4 linked regions of the Drosophila melanogaster genome follow. The protein of the gene in region 1 interacts with the protein of each later gene in a pairwise test. Each region holds a gene or a part of one and is shown in the gene's direction. Other genes may lie near its edges. The genes, in order: ari-2, Ubc84D, CG5355 and CG15529.

Region 1 (6,566 bases):
GGTATTTTCGACAGCATCTCGTGGCCGAAGATTTTATTAGAAAGAAAACATTTTTATATAGTATCACTTTACTTTTGCCAAATAAACTTTTTCGTATTCCTTGCTATTTTATGATACTCTTATATGGCAATATGAAATTTTTAATCTTTGAAAATAATGTCATAAAGTACTCAAAATTTTAATATTTCACATTCTAAATTTAATCAAAATTGTATTATGTTAAGGCGCAGTCTAAGCCATCTGGACAAGCTGCCGAAGGCAAAGGTGGCCGAATGGCTGGCCGGGATCGACACCATTATTTGCAGCACGGATGGGGTGCTGTGGCAGGAGAATACCCCCATTGAGGGCTCTGTAGAGGCATTCAATGCCATAATTTCAAAGGGAAAGCGATGTCTCATAGCCACCAACGAGTGCTGCCTAACAAACAAGGATCTGTTCCAGAAGGCCAAGTGCCTGGGCTTCAATGTCAAGGAGCAGGACATTTTCAGCTCGTCGGGTGCCATTGCGAGTTACCTTAGCGACCGGAAGTTTAAGAAGAAAATCCTCGTTTTGGGTGGTGACGGTATCCGCAAAGATCTGAAAGAGGCCGGATTCTGTTCCGTGGTAAACGATCTGCAGCCAAATGACCAGAAAAAAATCGACTTCGTCAGGAGCTTAGTTCTCGATCCGGATGTGGGAGCTGTTTTGGTGGCCAGAGACGACAACATGATAGCGAACGAGTTGCTTGTGGCCTGCAACTATCTTCAAAATCCCAAAGTCTTGTTCCTTACCACTTGCATTGATGGATTCCAGCCATTTGGGAAAAAGAGGATCCCAGATGCCGGATCTCTGGCCTCTGCCATCGAGATAATTGTACAACGCAAGCCTATCGTTTTGGGCAAACCGAATCAGCGGATTTTGGGCAAGTTGATGAAGTCTGGCGAAATAAAGCCCGAAAAGACGCTTGTCATTGGAAACTCGTAAGTTCAATGATTACTTTTATTGAGGATCATACTTTATCCTCTTTCCTTTAGGCTTAAATCAGACATTTTATTTGCAAGTATATGTGGTTTCCAATCATTATTGGTGGGCTGCGATAACGGAGCGATCGAAAAAGCCGAGAAAATTAAAAAAGAGGGAGATGAGAAGAAAATGAAACTTGTTCCAGATGCTTTTCTCTCCGGTCTTGCTTCTTTTGGGGAGTATTTATGCATCTAGGTGATGTCGGGCAAGAAAAGCGATTTCCATATCCAAAAAACATACCCAGCTGACCAAAAAGTAATTTAGATCATATTCAAAATTCAAACTAAGCCGCTCAAAAGCTGAACAGCTGTTTTGTTTCTGAGCACTCCTGTGTGCTAAATGATTTCGGTATTTTGGCTTTTAGCACAAGTCGCGAGTCAGTGCTACCAGTATATTTGTAAATTTTTAGTTTTAAAATTTGTAATCTAAAATAGTAAAGCAAATTGCCAGTTTTCTGTTGAAACTAATAGTTTTGCATCAATAATCGCGAAGAAAAAGTTGAATTAATGTGATAATAAAAAAATACATGTTGTTGGTATATTTTTGGTATTTGATTTGATTGCTTCGTGGTCGCACTGAAAGAAGAAGAGTAATAAAACATCGAACTATCGAAGAACGATATGCCCCGATAGGTTCGGACAAGACAAAGAACAAAATGTTCTCTGCAAAAGCTGTGCTCGCTTAAAAACGCAAAAAGTCAGTGCATCTAGTGCATTGTCAGTGGTGCATAAGATTGTTCTATAAATAGCGAAAAATGAAAATAAACTGCAGGCGAAGTAGAAAAAACACCTTGAGTTGAGTGCAACGGCTGTGCGAGTGTGTGTGCGTGAGAGCGAGAGTGCGCTCGTGTGTGTGTGTACACATGCATGTTGATAAACGAAAATAAAACAAGGGACCGCCCCCCGCCGTAGAATAGCCACCCCGCAAAGTTCATCACCCTAACCAGAATCGGTGGCACTGCATCGCGCTAAATCGGCCACTTTCCATTATCCGCATCCACCGCCCCTCCCGCTCTCTGGGTCCATCATCCACCTCCTGCGAAAACAACAACAGCAACCACCAGCGCCCTTACAACAACTGTTACAAAAGAGCAAGAGAGAAGACACCCCGCACTCACACTCACACGGAAGCAGTGAGTGTCCTCGCCAGAAACTCGAATTCCCAACCAAACATCCCGAATCTGAGGCCCAAATCTTAAGCGCCAATCCGCCGGAATGGACTCGGACATCGAAATGGATATGGAATCGGACAACGACGGGGAGTACGACGACGACTACGACTACTACAACACAGGTAAGTGGAAACTAGTACCTGATCTAGAGGGGCACTTCCCCCTGACAACAATCGGCCATCGATTTAACTGTGGCCAAATTAGGGGTACGAGTGTATCTGTGAGGAAGTACACACACACATGTCGGGCTCTTGGTTTGGTTATTCACCTTTTCGGAAGGAGGCCCGCAAGACCTGGGAATTTGCATTCAGCACTTGACATTCGCCTTGGGTTCCATGACCAAACCCCACACCCCCCATTTGATCTCCGCCCTTCTTCGCTGACCATGAAGCTTAAATTATGGAATTGAACTTGAAACAAACACACACGCACGTAGCTGCACGGCGAGAAAATTGCACTGTGTAATAGGATAAATGTTTAGTTTTAAAATGTCAAATCTAGGCCAAACTAAATGATTACATTTGGTACATTTCCCAAAGCAATTCTAATGATGATTTGATACCTCAATTTAGAGAATTATGTGATAGGGCTTGATTTTCAAATGGTTTTATAACATGAACTCAAATCAATATTGATTTAAAAGGGGCAAAATAATATAAGAATATTACTAAAGACTTGATTTCTCTCAGTGCATGGGCAAGTACAATTGGTAGTTGCGAGTTGGGACTGATTGCGAGGCTTGTGTTTTGTGGCTGGCTTCATTATTGCCCGCCACTCTGCTCACGCTCTTCGTAGCTCCACAACCCACACAAGCACACATTAACACACACACCACGAACACCAGCTCAGGTGCGTGCTCAAGTACGCAGTTGCATTCTGTTGTGTGCCGCTGTTCCGTCAACTCGGTCTCCGCTTCTTGACCTGTCCCTTATTGTTCCGACCTGGCCAAGACGCCCCCTAACTCAACCTTCAATCGGATACCTCATATCGGTAACATCGTAACGTCGAGCACTTCTATGGCAGCCTTGTCGCGCGGTTGTTTTCTCGAATTAGCCAATGTGACTAACAAAATGCAAACATGATTACCGGCTGCATACACTGTAATCCCTTTTGATCCATACATGTCAGATTAACATAGAAGATATTCCCAAAGTAATAATGTTTCGTCGGTTTCAACCGATCAATGTAAGTCAGCCATTGCTTAACTTACAAACTCAACTCAACCTTCGTAACTCTGGAACCAGTTTTGTACAATAAGGGATTAAAAGTGCCCTATTGTATATAACTGCAACTGCTAACTCAGGGTTCGTTTGAAATCCACCCTTGCTGTCTTTCAGTCTGATTTTGGTTTAAAATACAATCAGTTAGCTTAAATAACCAAAAGAAAAAGTGGAAACTGTCCTATCAAAGCATAATAGATTTATGATTTATAAATGTTATAAAGTTCAATTATATTATAATACTAATATCCTTTTCTTCTTCAGGCGAGGACTGCGATGTGGAGCGTCTGGATCCGAAGCGGGCCGACCCGGAGTACTTTGAGTACGAGTGCCTAACCGTCGAGGACATCGAGAAGCTGCTGAACGAGCGCGTGGAGAAGCTGAACACCATCCTGCAGATCACACCCTCGCTGGCCAAGGTGCTGCTGCTGGAGCACCAGTGGAACAATGTGGCCGTCGTTGAAAAGTACCGCCAGGACGCCAATGCACTGCTGGTGACGGCGCGAATCAAGCCGCCATCGGTGGCAGTGACGGATACGGCTTCGACGAGTGCAGCGGCGGCCAGTGCCCAACTGCTCCGACTGGGGAGCAGCGGGTACAAGACGACGGCATCGGCGACACCACAGTACCGCAGCCAGATGTGTCCCGTTTGTGCCAGCTCGCAGCTGGGCGACAAGTTCTACAGCCTGGCGTGTGGGCACTCGTTTTGCAAGGACTGCTGGACCATATACTTCGAGACGCAGATCTTCCAGGGAATCTCCACGCAGATCGGCTGCATGGCCCAGATGTGTAATGTTAGGGTGCCCGAGGACTTGGTGCTGACGCTGGTCACGCGACCCGTTATGCGGGACAAGTACCAGCAGTTTGCATTTAAGGACTACGTCAAGTCACACCCGGAACTCCGCTTCTGTCCCGGGCCCAACTGCCAGATTATTGTGCAATCATCGGAGATCTCCGCCAAACGTGCCATTTGCAAGGCTTGCCACACGGGCTTCTGCTTCCGGTGCGGCATGGACTACCACGCACCCACCGACTGCCAGGTGATCAAGAAGTGGCTGACCAAGTGCGCCGACGACAGCGAAACGGCAAACTACATCAGCGCCCACACCAAAGACTGCCCCAAGTGTCACATCTGCATTGAGAAGAACGGCGGCTGCAACCACATGCAGTGCTTCAACTGCAAGCACGACTTCTGCTGGATGTGCTTGGGCGACTGGAAGACGCACGGCTCCGAGTACTACGAGTGCTCTCGCTACAAGGACAACCCCAACATTGCCAACGAGTCGGTGCACGTGCAGGCGCGCGAGGCGCTGAAGAAGTACCTGCACTACTACGAGCGCTGGGAGAACCACTCCAAGTCTCTGAAACTCGAGCAACAGACGATCGACCGGCTGCGCCAGCGGATCAACTCGAAGGTGATGAACGGCAGCGGCACCTGGATCGACTGGCAATACCTCTTCAACGCGGCGGCACTGCTGGCCAAGTGTCGATACACGCTGCAGTACACCTATCCGTACGCCTATTACATGGAGGCCGGTTCGCGAAAGAATCTCTTTGAGTACCAGCAGGTGAGTCGCAGTTCGGCTATTCTTTAACTGGTTGCCCAATAATGTATTAATTCCGTGCAGGCACAACTGGAGGCCGAAATCGAGAATCTGTCGTGGAAGATAGAGCGCGCCGAGACAACGGACCTGGGTGATCTCGAGAATCAAATGGACATCGCTGAAAAGCGCCGCACCACGCTACTGAAAGACTTCTTCCCAGTGGACGCATAGGCAACCGTCGAGCTTCCAGGGCCACCAGAACGGACAGCCTGTCTTGTTTAGCACAAACACTCTTTGATTGACTGCTGACAGGTCGACGTGACGCGACAGTATAGAGACGCTTATTTAAATTAAATTATACACATATTTACATGTATCCATCTAGTAGTAGGCCCAACGACGTGTAGCTAATTTTTAAATTAAACTAATAATCAAGTGCATATAGACTAGAAAACGTAGCATAGAGCATAGTCGACTACTCGAAGTATAATTACTATAGTTGTGACATTCGAAATCACTCAAAATGATCGGTGTAACTGCAATACAACGCCTTGCGCAGAACGTTAACGATATACAGTATCTATAGCTAAAGCCCTAGCGATACCGATACCGGTAGCTATACCATAACTATAAAACTAACTTTAAATCTAGCAACTGACTAACTGACAAACCAGACGCATTTCAGTGGCCAAGTGTTCCAACAGTTTTCCAAAAACTAGCCCAAACGACCCGATGAAATGCAGAAACAGTAACAATTCTAAATGTATAGCGCCGCAAGTCAAGCAATTATAGATCAAAGACCGCCTAAGCAGATCGGCTCATCGGTTAGACCCTAAGTTTTAAACCTTGTATTAGCCCCGCGTGAACAGCATCAAGTATTCGCAATCTGTATCTCGTAACTAATCGCAGCACATCAATCGAACGCAAAAGTCTTAAGTAAGAACGAAGATAGATACTCCCCGTCCCCGATCCCGTTCCTTTTGATTCTCACTCGATTCTCGATTAACTTTGTAAGCTGAATCATAAATTATATTCTAGGATTACGCTATGTATGTATGCTTATGCGACTGAATTTGAATTAAATTTACACTAGATATACAACTATTCAACTGACTTTTCGACTGTGGGCTGCAAGCTTACGATTTGGGTCTTGTGCTTAAAGCTTTGGAGAAGCTCATACGAAGCTTGGATTGAGTGTTTTAAGGATAAGCTTTCACTCAAGTTTCAAGTTTGGGTTTTGAGCCGAGTTTATTTTTTTTAGTGATTGAGTACGAGCTATATTCCAACTTATCTTCCTTGATTTCGTTGTTATTCAGATTGGATGTGCTTAGTTAGTCTTCGATGATGTTTTTGCTATTATTTTTTACCCTTTTTATTGCCGAACAGTGAACTCTTTCTGCTGCTCTTCCGGCTCTTTCGGCTCTTCCGGCTCTTCCTGCTCATCCGACTCATCCTAACATCAGGCGCCAAAGGTGGTTTCTGCTTCGCAAGTTGGCTGGCTAAGGTGAACAACCGGCACTCGGAATGCTCCTTCAGCAGACTGTTGGCGAACTTCTTGACTCCCGATATCTTGGTCACCCTCACGTTGTTCATATTTTCCACTTTCTTGGCGGGATAGACCTCCACTTC
Region 2 (2,921 bases), on another chromosome or scaffold:
GAAAGAAGATGTTGTTCTCGTCACGATACAGTACCGACTTGGGGCTTTGGGTAATCTACTGTGTGCGTATGCGCAATATTTTGACTAAACATTATTGTACCTACACAGGATTTATGAGTCTTAAGTCCCCCGAGCTAAATGTACCAGGAAATGCTGGCCTCAAGGATCAGGTGCTGGCCCTCAAGTGGATCAAGAACAATTGCGCTAGTTTCGGCGGAGATCCCAACTGCATCACTGTTTTTGGAGAGAGTGCTGGAGGCGCCTCCACTCACTACATGATGCTAACCGATCAGACCCAAGGGCTCTTTCATCGCGGCATCTTGCAGTCGGGCAGTGCCATTTGTCCTTGGGCCTACAACGGCGACATTACCCATAATCCCTACAGGATAGCCAAGCTGGTTGGCTACAAGGGCGAGGACAACGACAAGGATGTGCTGGAGTTCTTGCAGAACGTAAAGGCCAAGGATCTTATTCGCGTGGAGGAAAATGTCCTGACACTGGAGGAACGCATGAACAAGATAATGTTTGCCTTTGGCCCATCCCTGGAACCATTCTCCACGCCCGAATGTGTGATATCCAAGCCTCCAAAGGAGATGATGAAGACCGCCTGGAGTAACTCCATCCCCATGTTTATAGGAAACACTTCGTACGAGGGCCTGCTGTGGGTTCCAGGTTAGATATTGGGAATTTTTTTGAATTTTCTTTCAATAAGTAAATTTAATTTTATTTCACAGAGGTAAAGCTTATGCCGCAGGTGCTGCAGCAGCTTGATGCTGGCACACCTTTCATTCCCAAAGAATTGCTGGCCACGGAGCCCAGTAAAGAAAAACTGGATTCGTGGAGTGCACAGATTCGAGATGTTCATCGCACTGGCTCAGAAAGCACCCCAGATAATTACATGGATGTAAGTGTCGTCCAATTAGGTGCTTACATAATCATAAGCTGGTAATTTATTTCAGCTCTGTTCGATTTACTACTTCGTGTTTCCGGCCCTGAGGGTGGTCCATTCCCGACACGCGTACGCGGCTGGAGCTCCAGTATATTTCTATCGATATGACTTCGACTCCGAGGAGCTCATTTTTCCGTACCGCATTATGCGGTTGGGACGCGGTGTCAAGGGGGTCAGCCATGCCGACGATTTGAGCTACCAATTCAGCAGCCTGCTGGCTCGCCGGTTGCCGAAGGAAAGTCGCGAGTACAGGAACATCGAACGAACCGTGGGCATCTGGACCCAGTTTGCTGCCACGGGTAATCCCTACAGCGAGAAGATCAACGGTATGGACACTCTGACCATTGATCCAGTTCGCAAATCCGACGAGGTCATCAAGTGCCTCAACATCAGTGATGACCTGAAGTTCATCGATCTGCCTGAGTGGCCCAAATTGAAGGTCTGGGAGAGCCTCTATGACGACAACAAAGATTTATTGTTTTAAATTTAACTTACTGTTCTGTACAGCCTAACAAAGAAGTCTCTAGAAACTGTAAATAGGTCAAAATGCTTTATAAAATATATTCTGCAATTGGATTGTTTTGCTTTATAACTAGTTTGCCCAATGATTGCATGTGGATGAGAAATCCTAGTTTAGGTGAGATTTAAAAATATATATTTCTATTTATCTCTATATTTACCTCAGTTTACGCCATTTATTTAAATGCTTGATAACTTCTTAATAAGTTTGAATATAAAAACAATGTTCGACATGCCCTTTTGACTTTACTGTCAATAGCAATAGGAAAATTAAATTTTTAGACTTTTTTAAATTAACAAGTTTTTTTCCGAGATCTAGGGAAAACAAAGGAAAGGAACTCTGATCCCGTTGATAGAATGGCTGCCACTCGTCGTCTGACACGGGAACTCTCCGATCTGGTTGAGGCCAAGATGAGCACTCTGCGCAACATCGAGAGTAGCGATGAGTCCCTGCTGATGTGGACGGGTCTTTTGGTTCCGGAAAAGGCGCCCTACAACAAGGGCGCCTTCCGCATCGAAATCAACTTCCCGCCCCAGTATCCCTTTATGCCACCAAAGATCCTATTCAAGACGAAAATCTATCACCCCAACGTGGATGAGAAGGGGGAGGTGTGCCTGCCCATCATCAGCACAGACAACTGGAAGCCCACAACGCGCACAGAGCAGGTGCTCCAGGCCCTGGTAGCCATCGTCCACAACCCGGAGCCAGAACATCCGCTTCGTTCTGACCTGGCCGAGGAGTTCGTAAGGGAGCACAAGAAGTTCATGAAGACGGCCGAAGAGTTCACCAAGAAGAATGCGGAGAAGCGACCAGAGTGAAGTCAGCCGCAGCTCACATTTATTTGTATATCAAAATTATATATAGTTTGGACCATCAATTAAAACTTGTCAGACATAAGTTGTCCATATTTTGAATGTTCGCTAAGATATATGTATGGCGCATTAAATGGACGGTAATTCGATAAAAAAAATGGGCAAGAAAAAAAGTACAGTTAAAAAGAAATTCAAAATATTTTTCAAAATTGAGGTAAAAAAATTGTGGCCGTTGGTAAGCGTGGAATACATGTTGTTGGTTTATTGCTACAATCGTAGCCAACTCTTGGCTACTTGGCGGTGATTGTGGCCGGTGTCTAGCAATCTACTAAAGAAAACTTGTGCTTCAGCGCCTGTAGAATCTGCATGCTTGATTTCCCATTTCTAGCCATTATAGTTCCCGAGTTCACTCGGATATTGATCCTATATATGTACACATATAATTGATACCTATTACTTGATATACCCCTTTGTCTACGAGTAACGAATTTAATCAAATTACATTAATGTATCATTAACAGTAACAACAGGCAACCGCATTTGGCAATATCGTATTGGTAATTATAGCAATCATATTTACCTAATACAGTTACACATATACGCATAAGCTATCAAATATTGACCACATTCATCACTTTGG
Region 3 (5,382 bases), on another chromosome or scaffold:
TATTGTGATTTGTCCACTGGCATCTTCGTGTATCTTAAAGTTGCTGTTCTTGTTGAACGGGTCCAGCAGATCGAAGATGTCCTCGTTGTACAATTCGATGTACTGAACAGCCAAACTGAACTGCGGACTTCCACCAGCCGCTGGATGTTCTGAAGTGCTGGATCCCTCCAGTTGTTCGATACCACTGAATATATGACGAACAGCCCGTGGAATAATGCCAAGCTGAACGGAATCGGATGACTCCGACTCGTGGTCGAAACCAGTGCCCATTGTATACGTTTTTCCCGATCCTGTTTGCCCGTAGGCGAGTACGGTGGCATTATAGCCATGGAGGGTACTATCTACTAATTTTTCCACGCAGTCCGAGTATATATCACACTGAAATGGTTAATAAAGGCTAATGAAACTTAAGACAAGGTGGAAATTAGTATGACAACTTTACCTGATTGGAATTGGTATCAAAAACATAGTCGAACGTAAAGGCTTTGTCAGATCCAAGAAAAATCTGAGGCTCTCCAAGAGTGACGGTCGTGCAGATACGACACATATCTATTAGCTCCCTCGAGTTTTGAGGTCGGATTCTGAAAAAATATACAATATTATATGCTTTTAGGCGCACTTAACAGATATTCAAATTTAAACTTTTAGAATTTCAAGCTCTTTTATGGTCATAGTTATTGTTTTTTGAATTGTAATAATCTTACCTGACAGCAACACGTACTGAACTATCCTTATTTATGGAGTCCACTTCGGAAATCATATTGCAATCTGAAAACAATTAATGTGAATTAAATTAAATTCGCAATATATTTAACACCCGGATATTATCTAGAAGGCCGTGCTTAAGTCATACACCTTATGAAATACTCAACAAAATATTTAGTTACAAGGTCACTTCTAACAAAATTGTTAACTCAGCGAAAATAAATAGATGTCATAGGAAACCCGTAGAAAATCGCCCATTGTTATGAACTAATACTACTAATCCAACTGCACTGTATAAAACTGAATAAGTTCTGTATTACCTTTTAGATCAACATAATAACTAGTTAGCTAAGTTAATACATTCAAAATGTTTGTTTATGCATACAAGCTTAGGTACATCCATATGCGCCTACAAGTTGCTGATCAAGAAAAACATACATATGGAAGGAAAATTTGTGAAAACTTCGATTTCCCAGCACAATTGATGTACGAAAAGTTCAAGCAAAGCTACATACCGAACAAATAAAGCGCTTACTGGTGGCTAACAAATTAAACGAACTAAAAACAGCGCGGAATTCCAATTCAATTCATTTACTCGGTCCGTTTGACTTGATTCGATTGTGTTTATATTCCGACTCGACTCGCCTCCCGATACCAAAACATATGGTTTAACAGAGGTAATCTGTTCACGGACCGATTAATTTCGAGCCACAGTTGGCTGTGTCACACCTGACATTTGCGGTATTTTATTGGGGGTGCTCTTGCATGAATTTCTAAAACTAAAGCAATGGTATTTTCTATACGTGTGCGGTATATTTTCAAGAATAAAGCTACTACCTTGGTGCAGCATTTCGTACCGACTAAAGGAACTTGGTTTATATTGCTTCACCAGTTGTTATTGTATTTTATAGTTAAATTAAACAGTGGTTTTAAGATTTAATCAAGATTGATTTCAACACGAATACGTAAATAAAAGCTAACAGTTGCTAAGTTTACCTATATATTAAAATGTTTTTCAAAATCTGTCATAGCATCTCGTTTTGAGCATTCAAATATTTAAATAAATAATAATATAATATGTAAAATTACAAGAGAAATTTCTTTTTAAATTAGTTATAAGGAGGCGGCGATATATAGTTCGCAGTAGCAAAATTTAAGGAGTGCCCCTAACACCTATCGAAACTATCGCAAGTTAGTGTCCCATTTTTGCATTGATAATTTTGCAAATGCATACCATTTTTCGAGGACCGCTGCTCTACCGCCGAATTTGTCAAATAGTTGTACCCAAAACGCTGCCCAGAAATTACATTCATCGAGAATTGCCTTCAAATCGTAAGTATACACATATATATATATAGCTAATGGGGATGAGTTGCAAAAGCCGAAAAGCGAAAGATTAATACATATATTCTCATACGTGTAATAAATCCAACAAAGTTACCAGAGCCATGCCAAGTACTTTGTCCGCTAAGCTCGCGTATCCAGTTGCTCGGAAGGATGAAAGCGTGGCAGAGGACTTTCATGGCACCCAGATCAAGGATGTGTACCGCTGGCTCGAAGATCCGGACTCCACGGAAACCGAGGAATTCGTGAATGCCCAGAACAGCATAAGCCGGCCTTTCCTCGAGAATGGAGAGGAGTGGAAGAAACTGAACACGAAGCTTACCAAGCTGTGGAACTATCCCAAATACGGATGTCCCATGCGTTATGGCAACTATTACTATTACTTTATGAACACTGGCCTGCAAAACCAGAGCGTCATGTACCAGCAGAAATCGCTGGGCGACGAGAGTGAAAGCAAGGTGTTCCTGGATCCGAACACCCTGTCCGAGGACGGTACCATCGCCCTGACTCAGAAGGCCTTCTCCGAGGATGGCAAGTACATGGCCTACGGCCTGAGTGAAAGTGGATCCGATTGGATCAAGATTCTCATTCGAGATGCCGAAACGGGCAAGGATCTGAGCGAGGTCCTTGAAAAGGTCAAGTTCTCGGAGATTTCGTGGACAAAAGACAATAAGGGATTCTTTTATGGTGTGAGTACTGGACTCTTTCGTCCTGGTAATTCAAATTCAAGTCGTTTATTTCTTAGAGATACCCTGACCAAGATGGAAAAACCGATGGATCTGAGACCAAACAGAATGAGAATCAAAAGTTGTACTATCACCGGGTGGGTGAGAGCCAGGATAAAGACACACTGGTGGTCGAATTTCCGGAAGAGCCTTCGTGGCGCATGTAATGATCTTAAATTGTATGGTGTTGAAACATAGATTATAATCAATTTTCCAACTTTAGCCAATCCACCGTCTCGGATTGTGGAAAATACCTGATTCTGGCCATTGTTAAAGATTGCCGTGACAACATTGTGTTCTATGCTGATCTTACGCCAGGTGCGGAAATAACTTCCAAACTGAATGTCAAGAAAATTGTGGAAAAATTCGAGGCGGACTACGATGTATGTAATGTTTTCACAGTCTTTAAAATAGTAATGTATACATGTTTATATCATTATTTCAGTACATTACCAATGAAGGCTCGAAGATATTCTTCCGTACAAATAAGAATGCACCAAATTACCAAGTTATTGCCATAGACTTCAATAATTCAGCGGAGGACAAATGGGAAACGCTTATAGCCGTAGGTTTAGTTTGTTTTTAAACGTAGATAAGATTAATCACGACTACTATACGTTTTATAGGAGCACAAGTCGGATGTTTTGGACTGGGTTAAGTGCGTTGATAATGATAAACTGCTCGTTTGTTACATCAGGGATGTGAAGGTAAATAATAACCTATTAGTCATTCATCTATATGCCTCATTCCATATTCGTTCTTCAGAGCGTTTTGCAAGTGAATTCCCTAAAGGATGGCACCCTACTGCGCGAATTCGACTTGGATATCGGCACCATTGTAGGCACATCGGGAGAGAAGAAATATTCTGAAATATTCTACAACTTCTCGTCCTTTTTGAATCCCGGCTCCATTTATCGATATGATTTCAAGACACCTGACAAGTCGCCATCAGTATTCCGCGAAATCAAACTGAATTTGGAAGGATTCCGTCGCGAGGATTACGCCGTTGAGCAGATATTCTACAAGAGCAAGGATGGCACCAAGGTTCCCATGTTCATAATTAGGAAAAAACGTGATAGTGTTGAGCCGCGACCATGTCTGCTTTACGGATACGGAGGCTTCAACATCAGCATGCTGCCTTCCTTCGGACTCTCTGGGTATGTTGAGAAATACTTTTTAAAAGTTAGCATGTATATATGTGAACACATCCTTCAATCTCTGCAGGCTTATGTTCATCGACACATTCGATGGTGTGCTCGCCTATCCGAATCTGCGAGGTGGTGGCGAATATGGCGAGAAGTGGCACAACGGCGGTCGCCTGCTGAACAAGCAGAACGTGTTCGATGACTTCCAAGCAGCTGCCGAGTACTTGATCGAGAATAAGTACACGACCAAGGATCGTTTGGCCATCCAAGGTGGCTCCAACGGAGGCCTTTTGGTCGGCTCGTGTATCAACCAACGTCCGGATTTGTTTGGAGCTGCTGTGGCTCAAGTTGGGTAAGTAGATAGCCTGTTTGTTGTGACCAAGTGAGAAATATATTGATTTCATAGTGTCATGGATATGTTGCGCTTCCACAAGTTCACCATTGGCCACGCTTGGTGCTCGGATTATGGAAACCCATCGGAGAAGGAGCACTTTGACAACCTGTACAAGTTCTCGCCGCTGCATAATGTGCACACTCCGAAGGGCGCCGAAACGGAATACCCATCGACTTTGATCCTGACCGCCGACCACGACGATCGTGTCAGCCCTTTGCATTCGCTCAAGTTCATTGCGGCCCTCCAGGAAGCTGTTCGCGACTCGGAATTCCAGAAAAATCCCGTTCTGTTGCGCGTCTACCAGAAGGCGGGCCATGGCGCTGGCAAGCCGACATCGAAGAGAATCGAGGAAGCCACCGATATACTGACTTTCTTGTCCAAAAGCCTTAACGTCGACATAGTTAACGTTTGAGTGGTTAACCATAAACAAATTGCATTTCTCAAGGTCGAGTAAAAATCGAGTATACAAAATGTATTCAATATTTTCACAAATAAACCATACACCCTAAATGAAACTTTAGTGTTTTGCTAAACAATTACTAACCACGCTAGTGCTAACTAACAATAAAAAAAAAGGAAAATTTCAGCGATTGAATTTATTATTCAATTACTACCTTTATTTGATTTCTGGAAACGTACATGATCTTATGTAGCAAAATTACTTTTCCTCTGGTTTGCTGAAGACAAAGGTCAGGTTGCACTTGCCGCAGTAGTGACGATCTTCGTGGGCAGCCATGAAGACGCCGGCGCCGCAGTTCTCACCAGGGCACTCGCGACGGAGACGGTGGATCTTGCCGTTCTCGTCAACCTATGGAAAGGAAAGAGCATAGAAAGTGATTAAATACTGAGATCGTACACATGTTCATTCAATATAGGGCACTGGTAAAGTCACTCTGATATCCAAATCTTAAGCCAATGAGCACAAGACCAAGACTCAAGAATTCCAAGAACAGATCAGAATGTTTTCGGTATGGTGTCGGTAGATTGTTGTGTGTACCTTGTAGTATTTCAGGACAGCTAGCTTGACCTTCTTCCTCTTGTGCTTGATTTTCTTGGGAGTGGAGTAGTT
Region 4 (3,835 bases), on another chromosome or scaffold:
GCGAAGATGTTTGCCTTCTGTCTAGCGAATAGTCACTGCTTTAGATGTGCAAACAAAATCGCGATGCTTGCTGCAGCCAATCCGGCGTATACGTAATGAACTGAGCAGCACTCTTTTTGCCCGGATCTGTAAGTTTTAGAACCATATCTATGGGTCCACGTGCTGGCAATTTGCACGCCCATTTTGGGTTTTACAAGGAGATTTGAATGCAATCGATTCGGAGCGTAGTCAGCTCGCACAATTTATGACCGCACTTTAATTGCTTTTGAATTTTAAGAAATATTTAAATTGTGCGAGAGACAGGGAAGTGCGAGTGACAGAGACAGCGGGAGAGCTTCACCACAGCCGTTGGTAAGCTTACGGTAAAACTTCGAAAGGTTTGTGTCTCAGCTAATGCTTAACGCTTTAAATGATTATTTAATCTTTAACATGGATAATTTCCTTGTAAAAATAAAACGATTATTTTGGATGGAAAATGAGAAAAACTAGTTGATCAAAATAATCCATGTTTCCAAGTGGTTTTTTCAATATTTCTTGACTGAAAATGGTCGTAAAGTAAAAATAATTACTGTTTTGTGCAGCTAATTACCAATGCTTACGATCCCTGTCCCGTTTTTTCGAATTAAGAAAAAAAAATTTTTTTGTCAATTTTCGAATTTTTATAAGGGGTAACATCATCAAATTTTGCAAAAAATCGCAAAAATTTAAAGTTTCCAAATTTGAACACTAATCGATTGGGAAGTTAATTAGGAGTAAAATAAGATATGCCACTCCACTTTTGAACCATTATTTTCAAAGTTGTGTCCAAAAAACGCATTATTTTTTAACCAAAAACAGGGAAATCGAGCTTGGACCAAAAAGTCATATTTACAATTTATAGGATTTATAATTATAGAATTTTTTGAATGCCTATCAAATGGGACTTAACCAGCACTATCAACAGCTCATTAATAAAAACAACAGATCAGCAAAACAAACTCAGTTCTCAAACTTTTTAGCAGAGCGGGCAAACGGCTCAGATCCATATGTTGGCCACTCGTATCCATTCGGTCTCGGTTATGTAGAGCCGCAGAAATGCGATATGGGGAACCCCTCCCCACCAAAAATTGCAGGCACATTCAATGAATTCCACAGTCAGTCGGAAAAATGGTGGGGGGGGGGGGTATGGAAAATGCATGGGTGCTAAACGTTTAATAATTGTCGTTGCCCACATGTACACTGCAAAGAATTGTACACTCAAAAATAATCCTATTTTCGTTATGTACGTTTAAACTGCGTTCTTTCAGTGGATCTCTCTATATATAAAGACATTACAGATAATTAAATTGTGAGATATTAAGCACAGAAAGGTTGACTGCATTTCTCATTGTGTATAAGAACAGAGAGCTGATCTCCCCACTGCACTCGGAGTATCCAGTTACTCGCCGGGCTTCAAACTATCCGAGTTCCCGCGTTCTTGCCAATGTGAATTTTGTTTACCAGCCATATCCATATCTTATTTAAATATGAACATTTCTGCCGCCCCACAACCGAGCAGTAGACACATTTTAATTAATAAGCACTGCCAGACGAGACGGCTTCTGTTCTCGGGCTCTGAATTCTGGGTTCTGGTTCTGGTTCCTCGTCTGGTTCTGGTCACAAAGTAGTCAGTCTTCAGCGCAGCTCGATAGCGAAAGATGTTTGCCGGGAGCGGCGGTCTCAGTGCCACCGATCCATCTAATCCAAGGTCGCGGGAATAGGACTGCTCTACTGTGTCGTTTGGCGCCATGTGCTGCTGGTGTGCACGTGTCTACTGGACGGTTCTGCACAATCTCCTGGCTCGCATGATGGACAGCCTGATGGAAGTCAGATCGCCCACCTTCTGTAGCTGCTGCTTCGGTTATCAGCGGCAGGCCAGTCAGGAAGGTGACGTCGCAGAACGGGTTTCCAGCACCGACGACGATCCACAACAGCAGCCCCGTGAGGATTACGTCATTGTGGGTGAGTACGCATCGATCTCTCGGTTTCAAAACAAAGCCAAATCCCCAGAGTGACGGCATATAAACCAAAACAGAAAGCACGATACAGTTCGTAGAGCTAAATTTAACTCGAATTTAAGTTTAAATGATCGAAATTTGATAAATAATAGATAACTACAGAGGCATAAATTAATGTAGAGTAATACTCAATTAGAAGATTAAGCGGTAAATAGGTCCAATTACTAATACAACATTTTTAATTCCGCAAAGACGATGCCGATGTCAACTACGCGGAGATTGAGGAGAGGCATGTGGAAAAGGAGCAGTACTACTTCACAGTGGATCGTCCTACGGCGGAGCGAATGCTCCATGGACGAGAGGACGGGTCCTGCCTGGTTCGACCTTTCAAGGCAGCCGACCAGTGGATCCGTTACATAGTGAGCATCTGGGCGGCGGATCAGTACTATCACCTGTTCATAAGGCAAGTGGATAGGAGACAACGCTATGCCATTGGTCAGAAGAAGTCTCAGGAGCGCTGCTTCGGATCCCCCTCGGAAATCGTGGAGTTCTACACGGAGCATCCACTTCTCTGCACCAACAAGGTCCGGAGCCAGTGCGTCCAACTCCGTCCCATCAGTTACGCTTAGCTAGGGGTCAAATCTTTATTGCATAAGAGAGGGCAAGTATGTACAAATGGGGTTAGCTTAAGACGATGCTCAGGTGGCCACCACCGCCTTGAAGGCGCACTGGTTGTTCTGCATCAGGGCGGGCCAGAGGAAGGCTTTTATCAGATCCGATCGCCGGTCCGCCTGGGGATGCCGCTCGTGTTTCTCGGGCCTCAGGAAACCTGCATGGGATTTACGTAGGTGTAAGATTGTTAAACGATTAAAGAGTAGCTTAAAACCCACCCAGGTTGAAGTCCATGTCCAGGTAGTACGGCGCCTTCTGGTTGATCATCCTCCAGGCCAGTCGGACACAGGCACTGACGTAGTGCGTCAACGGGGGGCAGGACTCCAGGCAGGGGTACTCGTGCAGAGTAGATAGCACCTGGTTGAACACCGACCGCTCGATCTCGCCCAACGGGAAACTCTCGGCGGTCTCGAAGAGGTGCTGGCGAACGGATCTGTCCAGGGACAAGGTGGTCTCACTGCTGCTGTCCAAGGGGCAATTCAGGACTCGCCGAACTTCCAGGACCTTTCGCTCCCGCATTCCGTGGCACAGGCGGAAGGAGAGCTACACAAGTACCAATAAGTTAAGAAAATTATCAATTAGATGACTATCTAATTAGACTTACTTATGAATGAATAAATAGTTTTTCGAAAATCATAAATATGTGACTTATTATTATCAACTAATCTTGATGGTACCATTTCCCTGCAAAAGTGTCGTTCATCTGAGATCGAAAGTGATTCAAATCCCAAGCGCCTACGTAATTTTCTGACACCCTGGGGGCTCCACTTTCCCTCACATTTTCACTGCACCAACGCCTAATCATCCTCTAGTGCGAATTCGATCTTGCAAAATTGATATTTTGCAATCGCAGTTTGTGGTCCGACAGGATTTAAAGCATCCAGAGCCCACGGGCTTGGCTGGAAATAATTGATGGCCAAGCACTTGAAAATTGAAAGTAATCTTCGCTGGATGAATTGGTCTCACAGTTTGAGAGTCATTGTGCTGTGCTAAATTTCCAAACGAAAGCAGTGCAAGCAGTTCGTACGCTGAGCTACTTCAAGATCAAGTTTATCAGCTTTTGACCTGCCAAATGCCAATTGGAAGAGTTCGTCCCAATTTTAAAACAATCGCTATTTTTTCACTTTTGACAAGGGCTTTATTCTATTTGAATAGCCTTAAGAATTGTATAGAAAAATATCTATTAG

Evidence for each region.
Region 2: the proteins of ari-2 (region 1) and Ubc84D interact in a two-hybrid assay, tested with the Drosophila melanogaster proteins (one large-scale study listed by BioGRID).
Region 3: the proteins of ari-2 (region 1) and CG5355 interact in a two-hybrid assay, tested with the Drosophila melanogaster proteins (one large-scale study listed by BioGRID).
Region 4: the proteins of ari-2 (region 1) and CG15529 interact in a two-hybrid assay, tested with the Drosophila melanogaster proteins (one large-scale study listed by BioGRID).

Annotation. Positions count from the first base shown.
Region 1 is NT_033778.4:22,211,225-22,217,790, forward strand, and holds ari-2 (ariadne 2), read left to right. Parts: upstream 1-1,610; 5' UTR 1,611-2,216; coding exon 2,217-2,295; intron 2,296-3,657; coding exon 3,658-4,961; intron 4,962-5,021; coding exon 5,022-5,168; 3' UTR 5,169-6,040; downstream 6,041-6,566. Other genes in the region: CG11291 (uncharacterized protein), read left to right, coding at 217-959, 1,014-1,197; CG30278 (uncharacterized protein), read right to left, coding at 6,294-6,566.
Region 2 is NT_033777.3:7,518,263-7,521,183, reverse strand, and holds Ubc84D (ubiquitin conjugating enzyme 84D), read left to right. Parts: upstream 1-1,727; 5' UTR 1,728-1,825; coding exon 1,826-2,287; 3' UTR 2,288-2,364; downstream 2,365-2,921. Other genes in the region: alpha-Est7 (alpha-Esterase-7), read left to right, coding at 1-50, 109-672, 735-904, 960-1,433. UniProt on the Drosophila melanogaster protein: Catalyzes the covalent attachment of ubiquitin to other proteins.
Region 3 is NT_033779.5:10,409,980-10,415,361, reverse strand, and holds CG5355 (uncharacterized protein), read left to right. Parts: upstream 1-1,898; 5' UTR 1,899-1,931; coding exon 1,932-2,037; intron 2,038-2,142; coding exon 2,143-2,738; intron 2,739-2,794; coding exon 2,795-2,937; intron 2,938-2,997; coding exon 2,998-3,157; intron 3,158-3,219; coding exon 3,220-3,339; intron 3,340-3,400; coding exon 3,401-3,481; intron 3,482-3,539; coding exon 3,540-3,931; intron 3,932-3,998; coding exon 3,999-4,271; intron 4,272-4,325; coding exon 4,326-4,725; 3' UTR 4,726-4,825; downstream 4,826-5,382. Other genes in the region: Klp31E (Kinesin-like protein at 31E), read right to left, coding at 1-378, 443-581, 705-760; RpS27A (ribosomal protein S27A), read right to left, coding at 4,972-5,121, 5,311-5,382.
Region 4 is NT_033777.3:30,150,415-30,154,249, forward strand, and holds CG15529 (uncharacterized protein), read left to right. Parts: upstream 1-1,644; 5' UTR 1,645-1,766; coding exon 1,767-1,980; intron 1,981-2,228; coding exon 2,229-2,605; 3' UTR 2,606-2,674; coding exon of another isoform or gene 2,675-2,805; 3' UTR 2,806-2,866; coding exon of another isoform or gene 2,867-3,191; 3' UTR 3,192-3,285; downstream 3,286-3,835. Other genes in the region: CG11498 (uncharacterized protein), read right to left, coding at 2,675-2,805, 2,867-3,191.